6 linked regions of the Cricetulus griseus genome follow. The protein of the gene in region 3 purifies or fractionates together with the protein of the main gene of each other region. This does not show direct contact. Links are inferred from orthologs where the notes say so. Each region holds a gene or a part of one and is shown on either strand. Other genes may lie near its edges.

Region 1 (4,160 bases), on a different chromosome or scaffold from region 3:
CACAAAGCTTGGGCTTTCACCCGCAGGGTACACATACATGGCCCTTCTGGTCACTTCTAGGGTTCCATGCAGCTGAAGTCAGTGGCAAGGGGTAGGACACAAGTCTATTTTGGCAATGAGAGTTGGAGGGCTGGGCCTCTGTCCATTTCCATATAGTTTCAGGGCTTCTACCTCTCCATGGGACTCATCAGCCCATTTCTTATTCGACGAAGTCAACAAGCATGCAAAGGGCTAAGGACCAGAAATGACAAGACCTAATCCTCCTGTGTCTGTGGAGACACTGGACCTACTGGAAGAGCCATGTTTACAGCCCCTGTGCTTGAATTTTGTGAAGTCACTGAGTTAAGAAAACAAAACAGACCTAACTTATAAATGTGCTTTCTGATAGAATTTCCAAAATCCCCCTAGGCGTTGTAGAAGAGTAAGCAGAGGGTCTGCAATGGATTCTCTATAGATGGCACAGGGCTGGGAGGCAAGAGGATCAGAAGTTCAAAGGTCATTCTCTGCTACAGAGCCAATTGAAAGACAGCCCTGGAAAGAAAGAGATAAAGAGGGAAGGAGGAAGGGAAAAGAAAGGAAGCGGGGAGAGAGAAAGGAAGAGCGACGGGAGATAAGGGTGAGGAAATGCGAGGTCGAAAGAAAATAAAGAGTGAATGGAAGGGAGGAAATCTTGGCATTGTTATTAACCCATTAAGGCACGGAGTATCTAAAATATAACTACGTTTGGGACTTGTAACTCTAACATTACTTAAAAAAGGTTTTTTCTTTCTTTAAAGAAAAAGTAATTTTAAACTAGCCACTTCGGTGTGCCTAAAAGCAGCCCTGGAGAGCAGGAAGCTGCTCCTTGATAGATAAGGGCCTAACGGGCGATGACAAACACGTGGCTCCGCGCAGAGCTGGCGCAGAGCTGTGAAACAGGGCAAGGAACAGACCTAAACCACCCTTCCTATGCACGCTACTGCTCGCACCAGTACTTTCTGAGCAATAAAATTTACGAGGAAGAGGCAGGCGGCGAGGAGCCGCCATTTTTGCAGCGTCTGAGGCGGAGTCGCAGGCGGCAGGCAAGGACCCGGACTGTCACCAGAGGCCTCGGGCCAGCGGAAAGCCTGCGACGCTCGTCATGGAGTGTCTCGTCCCCTCACCGAGTTCTGCCGCTCGGCCCACGGTGACAAAAGCACGAGAGACGGACAAGGGCGGTCTCCAGAGCACTATGCAGCCTCAGGCTAGAACGGACGCCATTTGCCCCGGTCTCCGCACCGGCTCGCGCAGCCGCAGAGGCTCGGATGGGCCGGCCCGCTCGCGCCCGCTGCAGTCTAGCGCGCCCGGCGGACGATACCACACCCGCGAACCCCTCCGAAGACATGAAAATGGTTCCGTCCTCAGCCTCTGATTGGCCAAGGAGGGGAGGGCGTGGTCTCCGCAGTCTAGTTCCGCGCGCCAGAGCGCGCTAGCCGCATTGCGAGCTGGGCACGGAGCAGGCGCCATGGTGAGGAGTGGTTGTGGGTTATTAGTGACGAGAAGGCCTCGGTGCGGGTCTGGGTGTGCGTTCGGATTCGGGTTCGGAGTATGGGCCAGGACCTGCTCTAAGAGCGGCCGGCGGGACTCGGTAGCTTGACTGATGGCCGCGCGCCGGTTCCCGTTTCAGGTTGTGCTGCACGTGCTGTTCGAGCATGCGGTCGGCTACGCGCTGTTGGCCCTGAAGGAAGTGGAGGAAATCAGCCTGCTGCTACCGCAGGTGGGTGGGATCGGTGGGCTCGGGGTGCTGCAATGCAGCCCCTAAGGCCGCCGAACCCCATCATGCACCGCGTGTTCCCACGTGGCCGACCGCACCGGCAGAGGGGGGGGTGAAAGCTCAGGAACGAGATTTTTAATTAATGCGTATCTGTATAATCTCCTTAGAGAGTGGAGATAAACACCTCAAATCTTGAGAATTAAAGTAGAATCGGGATGTGGAGCTTAGGCACCAGTGTTCCCATGAATATTACAGCTGGTTCCTGGTTTACTGCGCTGTGGAGGCCAAATTCAAAGAAAGCCCATTCATTCCTCCTCTCCACAGGTGGAGGAGTGTGTACTTAACCTTGGCAAATTCCACAATGTCGTTCGTCTGGTCGCCTTCTGTCCGTTTTCTTCATCCCAGGTTGCCTTGGAAAATGCCAATGCCGTGTCTGAAGGTGAGTTAGTCGCTCAGCGACGAGTGATTCTAAGCGACGGTGTTCTAAGATGATTTTGCTGAGCACGTGATGCATGCTAGGTATTGGGACCTACAAGATGACAGTAGGAGCTCACTGCTTCACAGTTGTGCCACCGTGGTGAAGCCAGGCTTTGCACTGATGACTTGAAAAATCTGTCAATCCACTGAGTGTGATCACTGATGTCTCCATGTTTCTGAGCAATGCCTGGAGGGGTGGGTGTTCTTTCGTGATCCGATGTGGAGGTGGAGTCTTACAGGTAAAGTGTTCTTTGTCCCAAGGTGTTGTTCATGAGGACCTCCGTCTGCTCCTGGAGACATACCTGCCGTCTAAAAAAAAGAAAGTATTGCTGGGGGTTGGAGACCCCAAGATTGGTGCTGCAATACAAGAGGAGTTGGGGTACAACTGCCAGACTGGAGGTGTGATAGCTGAGATCCTTCGAGGTAAGATAGTCCTCCTGTTCCGAAGCTGCTAAGATTTTATGTGTTAGTGCTTGCACTTACTGCGTGCACCATGTAAGTGCAGTGCCCACAGAGGCCAGAAGAGGGAGACAAGAGGTAGATGGTTATCTTGGCTATTCCGTGGCCACGTGTTTTATTCATAGTCCCGCCTTTTAGGAGTTCGTCTGCACTTCCATAATCTGGTGAAGGGTCTAACAGACCTGTCTGCGTGTAAAGCCCAGCTAGGGTTGGGACACAGCTATTCTCGGGCCAAAGTGAAATTTAATGTGAACCGGGTGGACAACATGATCATCCAGTCCATAAGCCTTCTGGACCAACTGGATAAAGATATCAATACCTTCTCAATGCGTGTCAGGTAAGATGCAGTGCATGGGCTACCAAACACTGGGCTCTTTGGCCTGTGGTTTAGCTATTATAAACTTAACAAGGGTCAAGCAGGGTTGACAATTCCTGCGGGTATAATCATGGGCTAAAGCCAGGCCTCCTTGTGCTTACCACAGGCTGTGTTCTTAACACTGACTGTATAGAAAGAGGAGGCAGAGTAAACCTACCCCATGTACACCTCAGCCTAGGCCATTGTGCCTGGTCTGAATTGTGAATGGGGAGACATGGATTTGAGGGAGACTTGGGATCTGGTTTATTTGAGGTTTGGCAAACTGGGTAAGGGAATGATTGTAACTCTGCAGGGAGTGGTATGGGTACCACTTTCCAGAGCTGGTGAAGATCATCAATGACAATGCCACCTACTGTCGCCTGGCTCAATTCATTGGAAACCGCAGGGAATTGAATGAGGAAAAGCTGGAGAAGCTGGAAGAGTTGACTATGGATGGGGCCAAGGCTAAGGCCATTTTGGATGCCTCTCGGTCCTCCATGGGTCAGTGCAGAGCCTGGCAACCTGCATAAGGTACGAGACTCCTTGAGTATTTGGTCCCCCTGTTCACACTAGGTGTTTCCTAGGCATGGACATATCTGCTATCGACTTGATAAACATCGAGAGCTTCTCCAGTCGTGTGGTGTCTTTGTCAGAGTATCGCCAGAGCCTACACACTTACCTTCGCTCCAAGATGAGCCAAGTAGCCCCCAGCCTGTCAGCCTTAATTGGGGAAGCGGTGCGTTATGGGACTACAAATGGGGGAGTAAAAATGTTAGCATACTGTACCGCTATACTTCTGGCTACCATGTTGTCCCTAGTTGTTGCATGGTGGGGAGGAAAATAGGGGTGAAACTGATAAGTCAAGTTCCCCCCTACTCACCTGGCTTCTTCCTTGGATCTTTCTCCAGGTAGGTGCACGTCTCATTGCTCATGCTGGCAGCCTCACCAACCTGGCCAAGTACCCAGCATCCACAGTACAGATCCTTGGGGCTGAAAAGGCCCTGTTCAGGTACCAGTGAGGGTGCCTGCCCATGTCAGGTGCTACTTCTGGTGCCCGCTGCTTTGTTTGGGGATTACAGTGATGGCTGACCAGGACTCCCTGACCTATACAGGCCTCTGCTATGGGGGTGATGGCCA
Region 2 (3,500 bases), on a different chromosome or scaffold from region 3:
AGCAGGTATACATGCCAGGATACATACATGAACATGAGAGAACAATTTTGTGACATCATTTCTCTCCTTTTATCTTTACCTGGAATCCAGGAACTTGATTTAGTTTTGTAGGGTTGAATGGCAAGCATTTTACCTACTGAACCATCTCTCTCTGGTCTATAAAACAGTTTGGTCAAAGCTAAGTAGATTGTTTAACACTGTAGATCAGTGTTAAACAATTTAAATGTAGCTTTAGAGTCTCATGGGCTGTGGTACTAATATTAATGTATCAGAAGTTCATGGTATTTAATAGAGCTATTTATTCCTCTAACATTGGGCAACTAGTGAGAGTTCTCGTCACCACAATAGGTCTAGGGAGTCAAACTTAGATGCCCAGCTTGGTGGCAAAAGCCTTGGCCTTGGCCCACTGGCCCCATTTTTGTTAGAAGTTACTTCTATTTATCTATCTATCTATCTATCTATCTATTTATTTATTTATTTATTTATTGTGCCAGGCATTTGTAGTGCACACCTTTATTCTCGGGAGGGAGATGCAGGCAGGCAGATCTCTGAGTTCGAGGCCAGCCTGGTCTACAGAGTGAGTTCCAGGACAGGCTCCAAAACAATACAGAGAAACTGTCTCAAAAACCAGAAAAAAAATTATTGCATGTAAATAGATGTTTTGTCTGCACACCAAAAGAAAGGGCATTGGATCCCATGGGGTTACGTTATATTGGGTTGTGAGCTGCCATGTGTTTGCTGGGAAATGGACTCAGGTCCTCTTGAAGAGCAGCCTGTGCTCTTCATCACTGAGTCATCTCTCCAACCCCCAGAAGCTATTTCTTTGTCCCTTCACCGAAAACAGGATTTCTGTGTAGACCAGGCTGGCCTCAAACTCGAGAGATTGACATCTTCCTTCTGAGTGCCGTGATTAAAGTCACAGCACCACACCCAGCTTTTGAAGTTATTTCTTAAAATATATGAGATTGTTTTTGATGAAATGATAACTATTTCCAGATGATAATCTGGAATAGAATCTAAAGTTAGTCTAGTATAGGGATTTTGTATTTAGAAAAATACATATTTAAGAGAAGGGCTTTTGTGCTAGGTTAAGTAACTTGGGTCTTATGGATCATAAACTAGAGATGGGCTGGGGAGTGGCTGCTTTTCCAGAGAACTCAGCTCTTCCAGAGGAGCCCATCACTCACATGGCAGTTTACAGGTGTTCGTAATCCCAATTGCAGGGAATCTGGTGCTGTCTTCTGGACTCTACAGTTACTAGACATGCAGGTAGTGCACAGGTATACATGTAGGCAAAATAATGTATGTAAAAAAGCAACAACATTTAAACTAGAAACATCAAGTTCAACTTTAAATTATTCAAGTATGTGTTGCTGAGGATCAGGCCCAAGGCTTTTCATGTGCTAAGCAAGTATTCCATCCCCAGCTCCAAAAGCCTAAAAATATAAGTAAAAAGAATGAAAGGAAGAAGTCTGTTGGAAGCAGTGTATACAGCATTAGAAGGTGGAATGAAATAGCCAGGTATAATAGAATACTCCTAGATCACAGCACTTGGAAGGCTAAAGGAGAACCATAAGCTTAACTCCAATCCTCCTGCTTCTGCCTCTGAAATGCTGGGATCAAAGTATATTCCACCATGCCTGGAATTTATGAATGGGTTTTATAAAATTTATACATTGGTGTTTGTGGTTTTTCAAGACAGGGTTTCTCTGTGTAACAGCCCTGGCTGTTCTGGCATCTACTTTGTAGACCAGGCTGGCCTGAAACTTAGGCATCCACCTGCCTCTGTCTCCCAAGTGCTAGGATTAAAGGCATACACCAACATGGGTCATTTTCATTTTAAAAGAAACACTTGGACCTTTTAAAAGCAAGTATTTGCTTTAAAATTTACATGAGAAGAGCTCTCTTAGTTATAATACATATTTTTCTGTTTTCCTGAAAAGCATTTACAGCTCTGATGGAGGGCAAAATCAATAAGCAGCTGAAGAAAGTTCTGAAGAAAATAGTAAAAGAAGCCCATGAACCTCTGGCTGTGGCTGACGCTAAACTAGGAGGGGTGATAAAGGTAAAGGAGCCATGGTTTCTGTGCCTGCAGAGCCTGCCCTCTGTACTAGGTTGTCATGAGTTTTCATAATCAGTCTTTTTCTTTTAGGCAGCATAATAAGCTCCAGTAGAAAATAAAGATAAACAAAAAAGGGATAAAATAAACGCTAACTCTGTTACTCATAGAGTCTATTAACATGGTATGACAACCGTCACATAACTTTTTATCACATTGGAAGTTTTCAGTGGCTGGTGTAAAAGTACAAGAGGGAAACCATTAAGTGAATTATGGTGGCGTAAGCCTGTAATAACTTGTACAGTATAATATAGAAATGGAGGTGGTCTGTATCAAGGAGTTACTGAATAGAGGGGAAGTGGACAGATATGACACAGGAACATTGTTAAGTTTTTTTGTTGTTTTTTGTTTGTTTTGTTGGTTGGTTGGTTGGTTGGTTTTTTTGAGACAGGGTTTCTCTGTGTAGCTTTGGAGCCTATCCTGGCACTCGCTCTGGAGATCAGGCTGGCTCAAACTGCCTCTGCCTTCCAGTGCTGGGATTAAAGGCGTGAGCCACCAATGCCTGACTCATTGCTAAGTTTTAAATACAGTTTTGTGGTTTTTTTTTTTTTTAATTCAACATCTTTATTGTTATTGTATGAGTATTTTGTCCTTGGTTATGTCTGTTGCCTGGTCCCTGTGGAGGTCAGAAAAAGAACATGAGATCCTCTGGGACAGGAGTTACAGTAGCTTCGAACCACTGTGTGGGTGTGGCAAATTGAACTCAGGTCCTCTCCAAGAGCATCCATCTTTCCAACCAATCAATACTATTAGATCAAATTATTTCACAACTCACTGTGGTGGCACATGCTGGTCGTTCCAGGAGGCTGAGGCAGGATTGCTCCTCTGAGTTTGAAATCAGTCTATGCTATATTAGTGAGTCACTATCTGAAAACCAAAAGATGGTTTTTCAGGAAAACTATTTTTCATCTTGTTCTTATAGGAAAAGTTGAATCTCAGCTGTATCCATAGTCCTGTTGTTAATGAACTTATGAGAGGAATTCGATCACAAATGGATGGCTTGATTCCTGGGGTAGAACCACGTGAGATGGCAGCCATGTGTCTTGGATTGGCCCACAGGTAAGACTTAGAGAAAGAATGCTCACTTTTATACATAGATTTAAGTGTACTATACTTAAAATGATACCAGTATTTATTTAATATGAAGATGTTGCTATTGCTCACCTTCAGTATAGCTGGTAAGTGATGTAAACCCACAGAACCTAGCTTTTTAAGATTTATTTATTGTGTATATATTGTTCTGCTCACATGTATCCCTGCAGGCCAGAAGAAGGTGGTTGTGAGCCACCATGTAGGTGCTGGGAATGGAACTTCTAGGACCCCTGGAAAACCAGCCAGTGCTCTTAACCTCTGAGGCATCTCTCTAGCCCCTATTGCCTGT
Region 3 (3,932 bases):
GTATTTAAAATCTAGGGAGAAGTGGTCTAAGACAGGGTTTCTCTGTTAAACCAAGCTGGCCTCAAATGCAGAGATCCTGCCTTTGTCTCCCCAGCCCTGGGTTTAAAGGCATTTGTCACATATGAGAAACTCTTGAAAACAAAGGTTTTCTAAATTGGAGCTTGTGTTAGTTAAGTTTCACTGAAGCACCAGTTTAGCTTGGTCACAGTGCTTGTGTTGGAAACATTTTGTTTGGAACTCCCTCTGTAGACCAGGCTGGCCTTGAACTCATAGTAATCTACCTGCCTCTGCCTCTATAGTGTCGAGGATTAAAGGTGGGTGTGACCTTGCCCTTCGGGTTTCTTTTTTTTTAATGCATATACAGGATAGAGGGAGATAACAGTTCTCTGAAGGAGAAAGAAAGGCATGCCTGTTTTGAGGGAAGTAAAAGAAGGGTGTCCACAGGAAATGGATCTTTATTGCTTCCTGAGGGATGACTAATGTAACCTAAAAACGCTGCATAGAGTTGTGACAATTCAGTGTGACTCTGACTTAGGGAGAGTTATTTTTAGCACTAATAGAGTGTATTGCCGTTTGATTCGAGTTTCATACAAGATCCCTTTCTCTTAGGGAAGGTATAATTGTCTTGTAACCTAAGTATGATTGAAAGGCAGTTTGATGTATTAACACCATTGTCACCACAATAAGCAACTTTTAAGGATCCTCTTATGATTTGAGCCTGGGGCTGTGGTGTCACAGGGAGTGAAGGTGAAGAGAGGCCATGGTCAGTGGGAATGTGAGCAGTCGGTGACACCTAGAAAGGTGAAGGAGACTGGAGAACTGCAATGCATTCATTATTGTGGGGTCGGTCTATCAGCCGGGGATGGGAAAACTACTGTTTTAAAAAAAAAATTACAGCAAAGATAACGCGCGGGAAGTCGCAAGTTTTCCCGCCAAAGACCGGCGCATGATCTCTGACGCGGAGGCTCCGCCCTCGTAAGGGGCGGCCCGCGGGCTCCGCCCTTAGCAGGATGGCGAAGCACGTGAGACCGGAAGGAGCTGATGGACGTCGCCTACATCCTGCCTCCGAGGCGGAGCCCCACGCTTTCGCTGCGCGCCGCGCGACGTGATGACGACACTGGGCCCGCCCCCTGCCCTGAGCGTGCTTCGGAGTCCTGAAGTCGTGCAGCGTGCGCGACGGTAGTGACGCGTTTTACCGGGAGCATGGCGGATACCGGCTTGCGCCGCGTGGTTCCAAGCGACCTTTATCCCCTCGTGCTCGGCTTTCTGCGTGATAACCAACTCTCGGAGGTGGCCAACAAGTTTGCAAAAGCGACAGGCGCCGTGAGTGCTGGGTTTGGTCCGCGGCCCGGGGTGGGACGGCTCGCCCAGAGCCGAGGCCTTGACGACACGCTTAGGAGTCAGGAGGACAGGTCTGGGGTCTGTCAGCCCAAGGTCCGCCAGGCCTTTCTGGCCACCGATGAGAGCTTGAGGCCGCACCGCCGCCTCCCACCACGTCTGACTGGGACTCTTACTGCTTTTACTTGATGAGTTTTGCAGCGGCGGCAGGCATGGGTCCCGCGTGGCCCGCCCGGGTCATGTGGCTGACAACATACGATGAGAGGCAAGCGCTGGGTCCCACAGGTAGCTGTGGATTGGCGGTGCCTGGTTCATATGGTGTACTTTTTTGTTGGCCTTACCCTTGCTCGCAATTTAGCCTGAGCCTCTGAAGATAAATTGTTAGCAATGAGGGCTAGGGTTTTATTTAATTTTTACAAAAGAAAAAAATGAATGAATATAGGGGGAGGCTGCTTTCAGTATACTGTAGGAGGAGTGAGCATCCTGGCCTGCCAGTTTTCACTGGAGCTCTGGGTAGTGAAATAAAAGAAACATAGGCTATGGCCAGGTTCTGCGACTTTTCTACATATATGACCCCGGCAGCCGTCTTTTGTTTGAGACAGGGTCTTTATGTAGCCCTTGTGTAGTAGCGGATGGCTTTGAACTTCTGTTCCTCTTGCTCATCTTCCTAATGCTGAGATACAGGCGTGTATTAACATCCCTGAGCATAGCAGGATGTCATTTAATTTACATAATTTGTTTTGTTTTGTTTTCAAGACAAGGTTTTCTCTGTGTAACCTGGCTATTCTGGAACTCTGTAGACCAGGCTGTTCTCAAACTCATACCATCTGCTTCTGCCTCCCGGGTGCTGGGATTAAAAGTGTGCGCCACTGTGCCCTGCCTAATTTACAGAATTTGGGTGCATGAGATTGACAAAGAGAAGATACACAAAGTAATAATCCCATTGTAAATAGATAGGAAACATGGGATGAGTGACAGCTGTCTCGTCAATTTGAACCCACCTTAAGAGCAAGATAAAATGGAGGAATTTGAAATGTCTAGAGTCTACATCTCAAGGAGAGTTCTATTGTTCCTGGAAACACCTTCAAAGACTAGACCTGTGGTCTTTTTCCAAGGATGAAACCATGACTAAAAACTTAGGTTACCTTTGTCTTGTTTTTAATTTTGAGATAATGTCTCATTTGTAACCCTGGCTAGCCTGGAACTTACATGCAGACTAGACTGGTCTCACAGGTATGCTCCTGCCTCGGACTCCCCAGTGTTGGTATTAAAGGCTGCACACTTGGTCTTGGTGTTTTGTTTGTCTTCTCCACACCCTCTTAGTTTCTCTTTCTCCCCCCCCCCCTCTTTTTCTCTTTCTCTCCCTCTCATGATGGGGCTTCTTTGTGTAGCAACTCTGGCTGTCCTGGAACTCGCTTTGTAGACCAGGCTGTCCTTGAATTTAGGGAGATCAGACTCCTGTGCCTCCTGAGTGCTGGGATTAAAGGCATGTGCCACCACACCTAGTGCCTTTTAAAAAGTCAATTTATTAAGTCTGCAATGGTGGACATGAGTGCAGGTGCCTGCAGAGACCAGAGGTGTCAGAAACTGTATCTGGAGTTAACAGGTGAGTCTCCTAGTGGGTGCAGGGAAATGAACTCAGGTCATCTGGAAGAGTAATATGTTTTCTTAACCACTTAGCCATCTCTCTAGCCCCTCAATTAATATTCTTTATTGTATTTTCATTGCTGAAGTCTTTCTAAGGCTTTGAAAAATATGGTTGGAAAGGCTTAGGAATAGCTAAATAGTATCAGAGGTTGCCCTTTTTTATGCTCGAAGTTAGGCAATATATAAGTAGAATATTTTTCTACTGACTTACACAAGTAGGAAAACTTACAAAGATCTAACATCCATTTCAAATTGAGTAGGTAAGTAAGAGATAACTTTTTTCTTTTTTCTCTTTTGAGACGGCTTCTACATAGCCCTGACTGTTGTATAACTCGTGTTTAGGCTAGGTGGGCCTTGAACTCACAGATCCACCTAACTCTGTCTTCTAGGTTCTGGGATCACTAGTCGCTGACAGATTATATTTGATGAAAGAGTAACATAGAATCTGACCTAGAGGTCATAACATTTCTTCAACTCAGCCTCTTTCTTGCAGACGCAGCAGGATGCCAATGCCTCTTCCCTGTTGGACATCTATAGCTTCTGGCTCAAGTAAGCTTTCCTTGTTACACTTGGGCTGTTTCTCCCCCTAGGTGGGCGGGGCTATGTTCCTTGTTTTGAGAAGGTCCCCATCCCTCAGAAGTCAGCCTAACCTACATCACCAGGTCCACCAAAGCCCCGAAGCGGAAGTTACAGTCAAATGGACCAGTGACCAAGAAGGCAAAGAAGGAGACTTCCTCCAGTGACAGCAGTGAGGATAGCAGTGAGGAAGAGGAAAAAGCCCCAGGACTTCCGGCAAAGAAGGCTGGTAAGGCAGTGTGGGGTCTGTGGTTGTGTGGTGTTCCAGGAAGGGCATCTGACTCCTGCCTGGACAGCATGGTGATTCTTGTGGGTCCCTATCTATCTTTCTATTCAGCTGTACCTGCTAAGCGAACCAGTTTGCCTCAGCA
Region 4 (4,070 bases), on a different chromosome or scaffold from region 3:
GCCCACATTGGAGTTCTTTGTTTATTTGTTTGTAGCAGGGTTTCTCTGTGTAAACCTGGCTGTCCTGGAACTTGCTCTGTAGACCAGGCTGGCCAGATCTGCCTCCTGAGTGCTAGGATTAAAGGCATGGTCCACTGCCAGCCCCTGGTTTTATATTCTCTTTGCAGCATGTCAGAACTCTGTTGGGAAAAAGGTACTATAAGCTTGCTTCCAGTATTCTGGACTCTCTTTTTCACAACTCTCCAGCCTAGCAGTACAGAGTTTGGGGTTCCCTTACTAAACAACAAGTTGATTCACACATTCTGACTCGTGCAGTACCTCCAGCCTGTCCTCTCTTCGGTGCTCAAAAGTTTCCGTTTCTGCTGTTGCTGGGCGGTGGTGATGCAAGCCTGTAATCTCAGCACACAGAAGGCAGAGGCAGGGGAAATCTCTGCGGTTTCGATGACAGCCTGGTCTACAGATCGAGTTCCAAGACAGCAAGGACTACCCAAAGAAACCTTACCTGAGGTGTGGGAGGCGGTCTCCTGTCTTTGAATCTAAATGTATGTAAGTCTCTTTGGGTTAGGTGCCCCTCCTCCATGCTTCCATGGGCTCTGCCTTCTCTTGAACTGTAATTGTCAACTGTATCTCCAGCCTGGGTGATCTTTGAAGTCAACTGCTTGTTTTGTTTCTCGTTACATGTCCTCAGCCTAGCTGGGTGCTAACCTAACATATAGGGTTTGGGTAAGGATTTATGTAGTGATTCAACACACTAATGACAACTGATGCCTGGACCTAAATACTGTATGAAATAATGAGTAATTGGAAGCTGGGGCCAGTGATCAGAAAGTTCGAAGATGAATAAAGATGCCCTATCGTTAAGACCAGGTCAATAAAGCCCTTCAAGGGCAGTGGTGGCACACGCCTTTAATCCCAGCACTTGGGAGGCAGAGGCAGGCGGATCTCAGTGAATTCGAGGCCAGTCTGACCGACAAAGTGAGTTCCAGGACAGCTAGGGAACAACTAGGACTGTTACAGAGAGAGACCGTGTCTCGAAAAACCAAAAAAAAAAAAAAAAAAAAAAAAAAAAGTAAACCAGAATTAAGATGAAGGAGCCCTTTCCATCATGGCCGTCCCGAGGGCGGGTCGAAATCAGGCCACGCCTCCAAACCAATGGCAGAGATGATTAGCCTTCGTGGCTCCGCCCTCTCGGACGGTATGGCCCACTCCAGCTGCAAGACTACATTTCCCAGTGCGCCACACGGCTAGGTGACGCAAAGCCGGAAGTGAGGAGCATGAGGTCCTAGGGCACGAGGGAAGAGGCTGGCGGGGGGCTAGGGGGCGTGCACGTGAATAGGCTGGCCGGATCTCTGGCATGGCCGAGGCCAGGAAGCGGCGGGAGCTGCTTCCCCTCATCTACCATCACCTGCTGCAGGCTGGCTACGTCCGCGCGGCGAGGGAAGTGAAGGAACAGAGCGGCCAGGTAAGCGTCGGAGGGCCAAGTGCAAGACCTAGAGAGCAGTAGCCCGCGCCCCTCCCTGGAGACCCGGCCAGCGCGGGTCCGAGATGCGGGACCAGGGGTGCAGGAGGAGCATTAAGGTCTACTCTAACCCCTGCGACTTCCAGCCGCCTCCCGGGGTTCAGTTTCCTCGTCGGTGCAGTGGGCGGGCCGGAACCTCTGATCCGAGGCATGCAGCTTTGTAATTCCCGCCCCGGTTCCCGGTAGCCGCAGGTTTAAGTTTCCCTAGTTTCAGGCCACGTGGCTCTATGCAGTTTTCCTAGGGCACCCTGCTAGTCGCTGGTCTCGGGGTGGATTGTCATCATCCTTGTTTGGAACACGGAGAGGAAGGCCCCCTTAGTTGATGATCTGGAATGCAGGGCGTGCAGGCCCTTGACTGTCTTCGGTTATAACAAGACTCAAACTCATGGTGCAGTAATTCTTCCACTTGGCAACTTTTAGTTTGACCCTGGGGTGCAGATGACGAAATGGGGACCGCCAGTCTCAGGCCTCCCTGCTCATCTCACAAAAGTATCACAAGTGTTCTGTACGGTTAACATTGTATTAAGCTGTAGAATGGGAGATTTGAGATGTTAAAACATGGCTGGCAGAATCTGGGTGGGGAATACCCAGGACTGCTTCTCTGAGGGTGTAGTAGTTGGTTTGGAGAGCTCAAGGGAGATGGGTAGTTATAGGTGCTGATGCCCTGAAGTTGGAATGGAGCTTCTGAGTGTTCTAGCCTCCAGAAAGTTTGCTGTACCTGAAGTTTGAAATCCATGACTATGGAGTCTCCCAAAGAGATGGAGGCTGGAATGATCCATGGGTAATCTTCCCAGAAGAGCAGTGGTAATCACTGGTGAGATATATAATAACTGGTGGATATGTTGTGAACTCACGGCTAGCCTAGTCTGCATAATGGATTCAAGGCCAGCCCAGGGCTAAGTTGTGAGAACTTGTCTCAGAAACAAACGAACTCAAAACCGAAGGCTGCTGGGCTTTAGGATGTTATATGTGGTTTTCCTGACCTTCCTGGACCTTGATGCCCTAACAGATAGGGGAAGCAGGACATAGTGCCCATCATCATGGTTTGTGTGCCCAAGCAAGAGTACCTCTTCTCACAGAGCAGATACATAAAAATAAGCTTGTAGATTAGCCTGTCTAGATTGTGGCAGGTGCTGGCCACAGTGAGGGGAAGCAAGGAAGATATGGAATGTCAGACTCCAGTTACAGCTAAGGTGGTCAGAGAAGTCTTATGGCGAAGATGACATTGGAGTAGAGACTAGGAAGAAGTGGAGAGTTGAGCTGTGTGGTTGGCAAGAAGGAGAACAGTAACAGGAATGACAAAGCCCTGTTAGGAACTGGTGGTCCAACTTATTTATTATGACACTATGCCTGAGTTAGCGCAGAATCAAATTGACTAGATAGGGCCCTTCAGACTGACAGCAGCCCTTTCCATCTTATGTTTACTGAGCTGTAAAGAAGTATCCTGGAGTTTGCAGAGATAAGAGATGAGTTATCCAGTGAGTAGGAGCTCTTCCAGACTCTAGGCCAATCTGTTTGGGTGCTGGCTTGGTTTTTTTTTTTTTTTTTTTTTTTTTTTTTTCCCCTCTACGTGTGTCTCTTTTGACTCATTAGAGCACTTGGCTGTTCAGTCTTGATTTCTACACAGTGTATCCTCGGCCTAGGCCTGGTACCTGTTTTCCTCTGTTTTAACTGAAACCCTTGAACCAGCCAGGCAGTGATGGTGCATGCCTTTGATTTGTAATCCCAACACTCAGGAGGCAGAGGCAGGCAGATCTCTGAGTTAAAGGACAGCCTGGTCTACAGAGTAGACTGCGTACTTATTGGAGCTTTCTATTATTATTTCTCTACAGAAGAGTTTCCTGACTCAGCCCACCACCCTTCTGGACATCTATACACACTGGCAACAGTAAGTCTGGTGGAATGGAAGGGATAGAACAGGGTTACCATAACTGATCATCTTTGCCACAAGGTAATATACTAATGTGGTCTAAGATATGATCCAATAGCCCACTGTGGACACTTGTCACCTTCAAAAGGCAGGTTATATCATATATATGGGTAATCTCTGTGTGTAGCTTATCACAGGGGGAGACATTCTGAGTTGGAGCCCATCTGTTTTTGTTGTTGCTGTTTTGTTTTTGAGACAGGATCTCACTCTGTAGACCAAGCTGGCCTCCAGTTCTGGCACTAAAGGAGTGTCCGACCACACCCAGTGAAAGATGGATCTCTTAAGAATAAAAGCTTGAGCCAGGTGGTGGTAGCAGCCCACATCTTTAATCCTAGCACTCGGGAGGCAGAGGCAGATGGATCTCTTTGAGTTTGAGACCAGCCTGGTCTACAAGAGCTAGTTCCAGGACAGCCTCCAAAGCCACAGAGAAACTCTGTCTCGACCCCCCCCCCCAAAGAAAAAAAAGCTTGTGGTGGCACTGACCTTTAATCTCAAGGCAGAGGCAAGAGGATCTCTAGGTTCAAGGCCAACCTGGTCTACATAGTGAGATCCTGTCACAGAAAAGAATTGGAACAGATGGTTTCCTTTTTTTTTGTTTTGGATTGTTTGGTTTTTGGCTTT
Region 5 (3,500 bases), about 160 Mb from region 3:
TGCTTGGTGGTTGGGTCAGTTTTGTTCTGTGTTTCAGCTTGTTCGAATTGCCAAGGTTCTGGGGACAGATGAGCTGTATGGATATCTGAAGAAGTACCACATAGACCTAGATCCACACTTCAATGATATCTTGGGACAGTAAGTAAGAAAGGAGAGGGAGGGAGGGAGAGAAGGAGAAAGGAAAGAAGGAAGCACTTTGCTCTACTTCAGAAGTGGTAAAGTTAGACAACATCCAGTTTCCCTTTTCTAACTTCAATATTGATATTTATTTACTTATTTATTGAATGAACCAGGGTCTCAGTGGCTATGTAGATCAGGGCTAGTTTTGAACTCACCGGGATCTACCTGCCTTGGCCTCCCAAATGGTACGACTCCTATTTATCAGTAGAAAATGGAAAATAAGCCTTGTGTAGATATGCATGTTTCTAATCACAACACTTGGGAGGCTGCAGCAGGAGAATCAAGAGTTTGATCCTGTGGAAGCAAATGGAAAATAAAGTCATAATGTTATAGAAAAAATGTTTATTTGGTCAAAGCTTGTGCTTTTTCAAAAGAAATTATTTCTTCTTGTTTTATATGTAAGCCTGTTTTACCTGTGTGCACATAATGTACTGTGTGTGTATGCTTAGCCAGAAAAGGGGTCCTCTGGAAGTAGAGTTACAGATAGTTAATAGCTACCATGTGGGTGCTGGGAACTGAACCTGGGTTCACTGGGAAAGCAGCCAGTGCTCTTAACTACTGAGCCATCTCCCTAGCCCTGCATATGCTTATTTTGATGGCAAATCTTAGAAAACGAGGCTTCTTCAAATAAGTGAATAGCTTATTTTCTGAAGTTTTATAATAAATATTAAGGCATGCTAAATTTTCAGGTACAGTACCTAGTTTCGTGACTTAGGTATTTTGGGGTGGGGATGGTCTTATTTGTTTGCTGTGTAGCCTCCTGGCCTCAACCTGAGTGCTCAATTATAGGTGTGTGCCACCATGTCCAGCCTCAGTGCAGTGTGTTAAAAGTAAATGTTTGGCTAGTGGTCTTCAGGCATTATTTTATGAAATTGCTTGTTTCTAAAGCCAACCTTCTAAATATATCTACTGACCAGTGCATCACTTAGTCACCGCCAGGCCTTACTCACGGTTGATTAAAAGACAGGCATAAGAGTAATCCAGAAAGATTGAACAATTCTCCCTCAGATATAGATATTTTCAATAGATTCTGCTCATCTAATAATTGAGCAGTTTTATGTCATGGTTATAACTGTGGGTGACAGTGTGTGTATACTAGCCCATTTGAAGTGGGCACCGATAAGAATGAGCTTCAGCTGTTGCACGAAGTGCAGTATTCTAAGGGTTTGTTTATGTTATGTCTATTAAAGGAGGGTTTATCTGGTTGTTTAGTCTCAGAATACTAATATTCACTTTGTTTGTTTTTGTTTTTTAGACATTCACGGAAGCGCTGGGAAAACTTTATCCATAGTGAAAACAGACACCTTGTCAGTCCTGAGGCCCTAGATCTTCTTGACAAGCTCCTGCGGTACGACCATCAACAGAGACTGACTGCCAAAGAGGCCATGGAGCACCCGTACTTCTGTGAGTTATTAAATGGCAAAAGATGTCACCTTTATCTTTGGGGTCAGACAGAAAACTAGGTATTTGGATTTAGATCAGCCTAGGAATTTGGCTTTAAATTTTATTCATTTTACTGGACCACTGAGGCCATTTTATGGGTGATTTGATTAGTTCTCGAAGGTGTTTGCTGTTCAATGTTAGTAGTACCTCTGAGGCCAGGCTGTATAACCCACTGTCATCACCCTGGGCTTGTATACTGAAAGGTATCTAAGATTTTTTTTTCAAGTGCAAAAACCTAATCAAAGATTATTTTTTCTCTTTTAAAAAAAATTTAGGGGGGGTGGAGGAGGAGGGATGGGGGTGAGGGAAAGGGAGAAGGGATTGACATATGAAACAAGCTTGTTTCTAATTTGAACCAATTAATAATAATAATAATAATAATAATAATAATAATAATATTTAGTTAAAAGTAGTAAGATCAGGTCGGGTGGTGGTGGCAGCACACACCTTTAATCCCAGCACTCAGGAGGCAGAGGCAGGCAGATCTCTGTGATTTTGAGGCCAGACTGGTCTACAGAGTGAGTTCCGGGACAGCCAGGGCTACACAGAGAAACCCTGTCTTGAAAAACAAAACAAAGTAGTAAGATCATTGCTTTTTTAATGTGATTCTAAAGGAAGCAACATGTAAGCAAGAGGAATTGCAGGTAAGCAGGTAGCAGGTATGGCAGCTGGATTCTGACCTGTGACATCTCTCGGAGCATATGTGTTCCTTCTGCACTTGCTTGTGTTTTGGGTCCATGTAGTGTTCTTCCCACTGAAAGTCTCCTAGACACATCACCCTTGTCATTGACAGAAGAGGGTGGCTTAGTCTAGTCATGGAAGAAGTTGAATGTGACTTATCTTCATTTCTGTTCCTTAAAGTTTTTGTCTGTTGTTTGACCACTTTTTCCTTTGGAGTTTACTAATTCCCAGTAATATTAACAGATAGGAAGGACTTATTGCCATGATCTTAAACTTTAGGCAGAAGTTTAAGGCAACAAAAAAATGTAAAGGGTCTTCTCATTTAGCCTTCTGGACCCTAAACAGCTGACATTCCATTGTTTGCTTTCTAATTTCCAACACAGAAAGCTGCTTTTATCCTTCAAGATAGGCCACTTTAGGATATTGGTGTTGCCCTGAGTGGTGGTCCACTCCTTTAAACCAAGTACTCAGAGGCAAAGTTAGTCAGATCTTTGTGAGTCTAAGGCCAGCTTGGGATACATAGTAAGACTGTATCTTAAAAACAACAACAACAACAAACAAACAAACAAAATAGCCAGGCGGTGGTGATGCATACCTTTAATTCCAGGATTGGGAAGGCAGAGGCAAGTGGATCCCTGAGTTCAAATTGTCCAGCCTGAACTACAGAGTGAGTTCCATGATAGCCTAGGCTACACAGAGAAACCCTGTCTCAAAAAACAAGCAAGCAAGCTAGCAAACAAACAAAACCAAAATAAAAAGCAGTACTGGTGTAAACTCATGAGGCAAATGTGTAAGGATTGCAAATTTAAGACCATCTAAGGTATATAGTTAGGCCCTGCCTCAGGAATAATAATAAAAACAACCTGATAGATATTTTAGATAATCATTGTTTGTTTACTTCCCTAAATAAACTCCATATTTCACTGCTGCTTAAAATGGCTGGGGTTTTGTTTGTTTGTTTTCTTTTTTCTTGGGGGGGGGGCGTGTCCCAGACAGGGTTTCTCTATGGCTTCGGAGGCTGTCCTGAAACTAGTTCTTGTAGATCCGCCTGCCTCTGCCTCCCAAGTGCTGGAACTAAAGGCCTGCGCCACCACCTCCCAGTTGTCAATGGCTTTTTTATTCACCCTTGTTTATGACATGCTAGGTATGATGTTGGTACTCAGAAATCACCAGAAATATTGTGAATTTTGAACAGT
Region 6 (4,218 bases), about 84 Mb from region 3:
CGATGACCTTAAAACAGAGAGATCATTCTGGATTACCCAGATGGTCCCTGTGTCATCTCAATGGTTTTCAAAAGGAAAGGGAGGGCAGATCTGAGTGATGCCGTATATAATGAGAAGGCCACCTTCTCTCATTGACTTTGAAGATGGAGGAAGGAGGAGGCTTCCAGAAGCCAGAGAGAGTAGGAAGCAGATTTGCCCTAGAACCCCCCAGAAGTAATCAAGGGCTGCTGACACCTTGATTTTAGCTCAAGGAAGCCCACTTGAATTTCTGAAGCACAGAACTCTAGTTAAGTTTGTGTTGTTTGAAGCCACTGAATTCGTGGGACTTTGTAAATAGCAGCCACAGAAAATGAGCTTGAAGGGTTTGGGGACCCATGGATGGTTCCTTCTGTGCCTCTGGCTGAAAGTGGCATGTGACATTTGCACCCGCATTTCATTGGTCAGAATAAGCCACAGGGGGGCGTCCAACTCCACAGGAAGGAAGATGCCTGGCATCCCATACATCCAGCCTCAGGGAATCCTGGTGCCTGTAGGGAGTATCTAGTACATCTTTGTTGCCTGTAGCACTTGTTTCTATAGTCTAGTCCATCCCATTTCATTAAAAATCAAAAAATAAAGCCAGGTGTAGTGGCACTTATGAGGCTGAGGCAGGAGGATCTCTGAGTTTGAGGCTAGCTTGGTCTACATAGTGTGTTTCAGGATAGCTAGAGCTACATTTGTGAGACCCTGTCTTGAAAACAAACAACCAACCTCAAAATATAATCAGGCATAGGAGCGCATGTCTTTAATCCCAGCACCTGAGAGGCAGAGGCAGGAGAATCACTGTGAGTCTGAAGCCAGCTTGTTTGTATTTGAGTTCCAGGACCCTGCCTCAAAAAAAAGGATCTCTGTGTATGTACGTACTGTATGTGTATGTGTGCGTAGAGGCTAGAGGTCAACTATGGATGTCTTCCACTATCATTCTTCACCTAATTTTTTGAAACAGGGCCCATCACTAAACATGGAGCTTTCTGTGAACCCAGAGCTCTTTATGTAGGCCAGACTGTGTGGCCACAGAAGCCCCCGGGATCTGCCTATCTTTGCCTTCCCAGTGCTGAGGTTACAGGTGCAGCCTGCCACATATAGCTTTTACATGGGTACTGGGCATCTGAACTCAAGTCCTCATGCTTGTGAAGCAGGCGATTTATCCACTGAGCCAGCTCTCCGACCTGTAATGTTTTAAGTAGGTTTCCTAATCAACCAGTGACTTGCAACCTCTGGTTTGGACAATACTAATCTCCAGAGCCTCTTCTGCTCATGCTTCATGGACCACAGGCTATGTCCTGGACACAGGTGATTGGGCCAGGGGGTGGGGTACCTAATCAAAGCTGACCAATCAGATTCCTCTCCTGGGAATTTGGAATTGGGCCATTCAGTCAGTTAGCAGCGGGAAGCTGAGTGAGAGGCAGGGTAGAAACAGGGTTGGAGTGTGAGTCACATGCGAGCCCAAAGGATGGAGGAGCAGAAAAATCCCTGAGTAAGCGGGGCGCGCTGGTCCACAGAGACAATGGAGCAGCCGCACAGACAGCCTCGCAGCCAGGAGGCCCTGCAGCAGCCCCAGAAGGAGCGGTGGAGACAGGGAGCTACGGCTTGAGGCTCCGATGGCGTCCCCATTCTCAGCTCCGGCCCCAGCGCATCCTGCCTGCTCATCCTTCCCGTGAGATTTTGGCCTCCTTATTAGGACCTCCTCTTCTTTCTCGAGCTATCCTGAACCTTAACCAGGAAGGACACTGCTGGTCTTTCTCTTTGGGGAACCCAGCTGTGACTAAGGCTCAGGTTGTGGGGCACAGGCAAGGCTGGGGGTGAACAGACGCAGCTGCTCAGCAAGGCTGGCTGGGATTGTGGGCTTAGGTTAGGCCACGGGCAGAGAGGTCTATGCGGTGTTGCACACGTGGGGTTGTGGAAACGGAAAATACCCCATAGAGCCTCTTTTCTGACAGTGTTGGGGCAAGAAGTGAGTGGAGTTTTGAGTGGTGGTGCTTGGCTATGTGATGGAGTGGTTGAGTCTCGTGGGTGCCTCTTCGAGCCTCAATGTCTCCATCTTTGAAATGGGATTGTCCAGGAAGAGCCTTGTCCTGGGAAAAGTACTTAAAGGCATGAGTGGGGAATAATAAACAGACAGAGAATGAGGCAGCTGCTCTTGTTGTTTGAGGAAGCCACAAGAGTCCTGGCTTCCTGAAGGAGGTGGCCTCGGGTGCTGACTAAGGTAGTGGCAGGACATTCCCCACTGATGGCTGTGCTTCCTGCCCCTCTTCAGCCCCACTCTGCCCCTCACCCCAGTCACCTTTCATTTATCCCTCTCTCCCTCCCCTCTTGTCTGTTCTTCCTGCCGTTTTGAAACATGGATTTAGGAAACAGTGGGTTGGATTAAGGCACCAATCTCTGGAGGCCCAGTCAGAAGTGAGTCTGGGTCCCGACCTAGCCCCTTGCTTGCTGTGCTCCTGGGCAAGTTAATGCATCGCTTGGAGCCTCCAGTTAATTATCTGTGGAGTGGGAGTTAGACTATCCTTTCTACTATGAGAAATAATGAGCTGCTCGGCAGAGCTTTAATTCCCCTCCCCTTTGCCTCTCTCCGCTGCTTGGTGAATATTGCTCCTCCTGGCCCCACGTGTGCCTCGTCCTTCCCGGCAGCCACTAGAGTGGCTTTCTCTCTCAGTTGTTTATCCTGCCTGGGTGTGAGATCTTTCCTTTTCCTTAGAGCACAGGCTACCAAGGGCTGGAGGTAATTGTGACTTGGAAGCCACAGGGTTTTCACTTCTCTGGTTTCCTGGAGAAACATGGAGCTCCTAGCTTCTAGCTTGGAGTTGCTGGTTCAGATGGAGTGGTCTGCATTTTTTTCCCCTTACTTTAACAATTATCACACCCTGGCCAGTTGTGGCTTCTTCACACTCCCAACACTGATAAATATTAATGAGAAGACAAGGCTCCCAGGGCCCCTAGGGGAATGTTTGGGGAGAGGCTGGGCCACGCTCTCCTTTGCAAGCAATACTCAGACCTGTCAATATTCCCTAGGTCCCAGAAGGGAGGGTGAGGCAGGGCCATGGCTGTGGAGACCCCACACAGTCACAGGCCTGGATGCCTGCAGATCAGCTTCTGGGAAGGATTGGGGCACACCCTGCTGAGGCTGCCTAGGGGTTTCACCTTTCTGGGTCTGTCCCATCTCTCCCTGCTTCAGGCTTTCTGATTCTTTCCCTGGTTTTCTTCTCCTCCTGTCTCTTGTTCATCTTTTATTTTCATACCTCTACCTCTGTCTCTCTCTTCTCTCTTCACACCTCCCCTCCTTTCAATACCTTTCCTCATCCCCATCTCTCTAGCTTTCACTTTTCTTCTGCCTCTCCCCAGTAATGGCTGAGAAATTGTGGGCTGGATAAAGGTACTTAGGCGAGGGAGACTCGGGTTCCCAGACACAGCTCTAGAAGGGGAAAGGTTGCCATGAAAGGCAAGTGGCACTCTTCAGGATTTAGGGACTACATTACCATCTAATCTCAGGCCCAGTGCTCTGCTATTCGAGCATAGGCATCTGCCCCCACATTCCTGTGCCTCTGTCCCTCAGTGAAGCAATGAAATTCATTCATTTATCTGTTCAACTAGTTTATATTGTACTCTTGCCACCCTCAATCATTTAACAAGTATTTCTTGAACAATAGTGACGTGTGCCTTTGTGTGTGTTTGGGATGTACCCGTGGACAGGAGAGACAGTGGGCATATTTGGAGCGGGCATGCCAGCAGAGCAGACAGGTGGGGCAAGAAGTAAAGTATATGGTCAGGGGGTTGCTGGGAAGAAAGGAAGAGTGAATCAAGAGAAGGACTGGCTGACAGGGGTAGTGGGATTGGGAAAGTGGGCATTTGGGAAGAGTGTCCAGGGTAAGAGAGTAGGGTAGGGGAAACTGGGAGCAAAGGCCTTGTGCAGCAATCACCTGGTGGATAAGGAACGAGGAACAGAGGGGCTGGAGAGCAGTGAGGCTGGAGACTAAGGGAGGGTGGCAGGAGGTGACATAGGGAGGGAAAGAGGCCAGGTCAGATCACTGGGACTTAGCAGGCACTGAAGGATTTTCCTTTACTCGAGCTGGGTGGGCTTGTGAGTCTCCCTCAGCCCACTCTGAAGGATTGAAGGAGGGCTGCAGGCAGCTAACATTCATCCTAGGAGGAGAGGTGGAAGGAAGGAAGCTGTCCTGCTCT

What was found.
Region 1: the proteins of Nolc1 (region 3) and Nop56 purify together in Homo sapiens (affinity purification with mass spectrometry; 6 studies listed by BioGRID and IntAct, with this or other methods). This does not show direct contact. The link is inferred for Cricetulus griseus from reciprocal best matches to the Homo sapiens genes NOLC1 and NOP56.
Region 2: the proteins of Nolc1 (region 3) and Nop58 fractionate together in Homo sapiens (co-fractionation; 3 studies listed by BioGRID, with this or other methods). This does not show direct contact. The link is inferred for Cricetulus griseus from reciprocal best matches to the Homo sapiens genes NOLC1 and NOP58.
Region 4: the proteins of Nolc1 (region 3) and Tcof1 purify together in Homo sapiens (affinity purification with western blotting; 4 studies listed by BioGRID and IntAct, with this or other methods). This does not show direct contact. The link is inferred for Cricetulus griseus from reciprocal best matches to the Homo sapiens genes NOLC1 and TCOF1.
Region 5: the proteins of Nolc1 (region 3) and Csnk2a2 purify together in Homo sapiens (affinity purification with mass spectrometry; 5 studies listed by BioGRID and IntAct, with this or other methods). This does not show direct contact. The link is inferred for Cricetulus griseus from reciprocal best matches to the Homo sapiens genes NOLC1 and CSNK2A2.
Region 6: the proteins of Nolc1 (region 3) and Arrb1 purify together in Homo sapiens (affinity purification with mass spectrometry; 4 studies listed by BioGRID and IntAct, counting the BioPlex papers as one, with this or other methods). This does not show direct contact. The link is inferred for Cricetulus griseus from reciprocal best matches to the Homo sapiens genes NOLC1 and ARRB1.

What each region holds. Positions count from the first base shown.
Region 1 is NC_048599.1:48,334,196-48,338,355, reverse strand, and holds the start of Nop56 (nucleolar protein 56), read left to right. Parts: upstream 1-1,360; 5' UTR 1,361-1,483; coding exon 1,484-1,486; intron 1,487-1,645; coding exon 1,646-1,735; intron 1,736-2,056; coding exon 2,057-2,171; intron 2,172-2,322; exon of another isoform or gene 2,323-2,393; intron 2,394-2,470; coding exon 2,471-2,632; intron 2,633-2,806; coding exon 2,807-3,005; intron 3,006-3,128; exon of another isoform or gene 3,129-3,262; intron 3,263-3,336; coding exon 3,337-3,524; intron 3,525-3,607; coding exon 3,608-3,759; intron 3,760-3,931; coding exon 3,932-4,032; intron 4,033-4,094; exon of another isoform or gene 4,095-4,160. UniProt on the Homo sapiens protein: Involved in the early to middle stages of 60S ribosomal subunit biogenesis. Required for the biogenesis of box C/D snoRNAs such U3, U8 and U14 snoRNAs. Part of the small subunit (SSU) processome, first precursor of the small eukaryotic ribosomal subunit.
Region 2 is NC_048595.1:413,956,978-413,960,477, forward strand, and holds part of Nop58 (nucleolar protein 58), read left to right. Parts: intron 1-1,943; coding exon 1,944-2,065; intron 2,066-3,041; coding exon 3,042-3,178; intron 3,179-3,500. UniProt on the Homo sapiens protein: Required for the biogenesis of box C/D snoRNAs such as U3, U8 and U14 snoRNAs. Part of the small subunit (SSU) processome, first precursor of the small eukaryotic ribosomal subunit.
Region 3 is NC_048596.1:15,493,971-15,497,902, reverse strand, and holds the start of Nolc1 (nucleolar and coiled-body phosphoprotein 1), read left to right. Parts: upstream 1-1,132; 5' UTR 1,133-1,203; coding exon 1,204-1,323; intron 1,324-3,478; coding exon 3,479-3,534; intron 3,535-3,647; coding exon 3,648-3,790; intron 3,791-3,898; coding exon 3,899-3,932. UniProt on the Homo sapiens protein: Nucleolar protein that acts as a regulator of RNA polymerase I by connecting RNA polymerase I with enzymes responsible for ribosomal processing and modification.
Region 4 is NC_048595.1:178,248,605-178,252,674, forward strand, and holds the start of Tcof1 (treacle protein), read left to right. Parts: upstream 1-1,270; 5' UTR 1,271-1,354; coding exon 1,355-1,462; intron 1,463-3,351; coding exon 3,352-3,407; intron 3,408-4,070.
Region 5 is NC_048596.1:171,640,315-171,643,814, reverse strand, and holds part of Csnk2a2 (casein kinase II subunit alpha'), read left to right. Parts: intron 1-37; coding exon 38-138; intron 139-1,435; coding exon 1,436-1,584; intron 1,585-3,500.
Region 6 is NC_048596.1:99,980,193-99,984,410, reverse strand, and holds the start of Arrb1 (beta-arrestin-1), read left to right. Parts: upstream 1-1,418; 5' UTR 1,419-1,640; coding exon 1,641-1,696; intron 1,697-4,218. UniProt on the Homo sapiens protein: Functions in regulating agonist-mediated G-protein coupled receptor (GPCR) signaling by mediating both receptor desensitization and resensitization processes.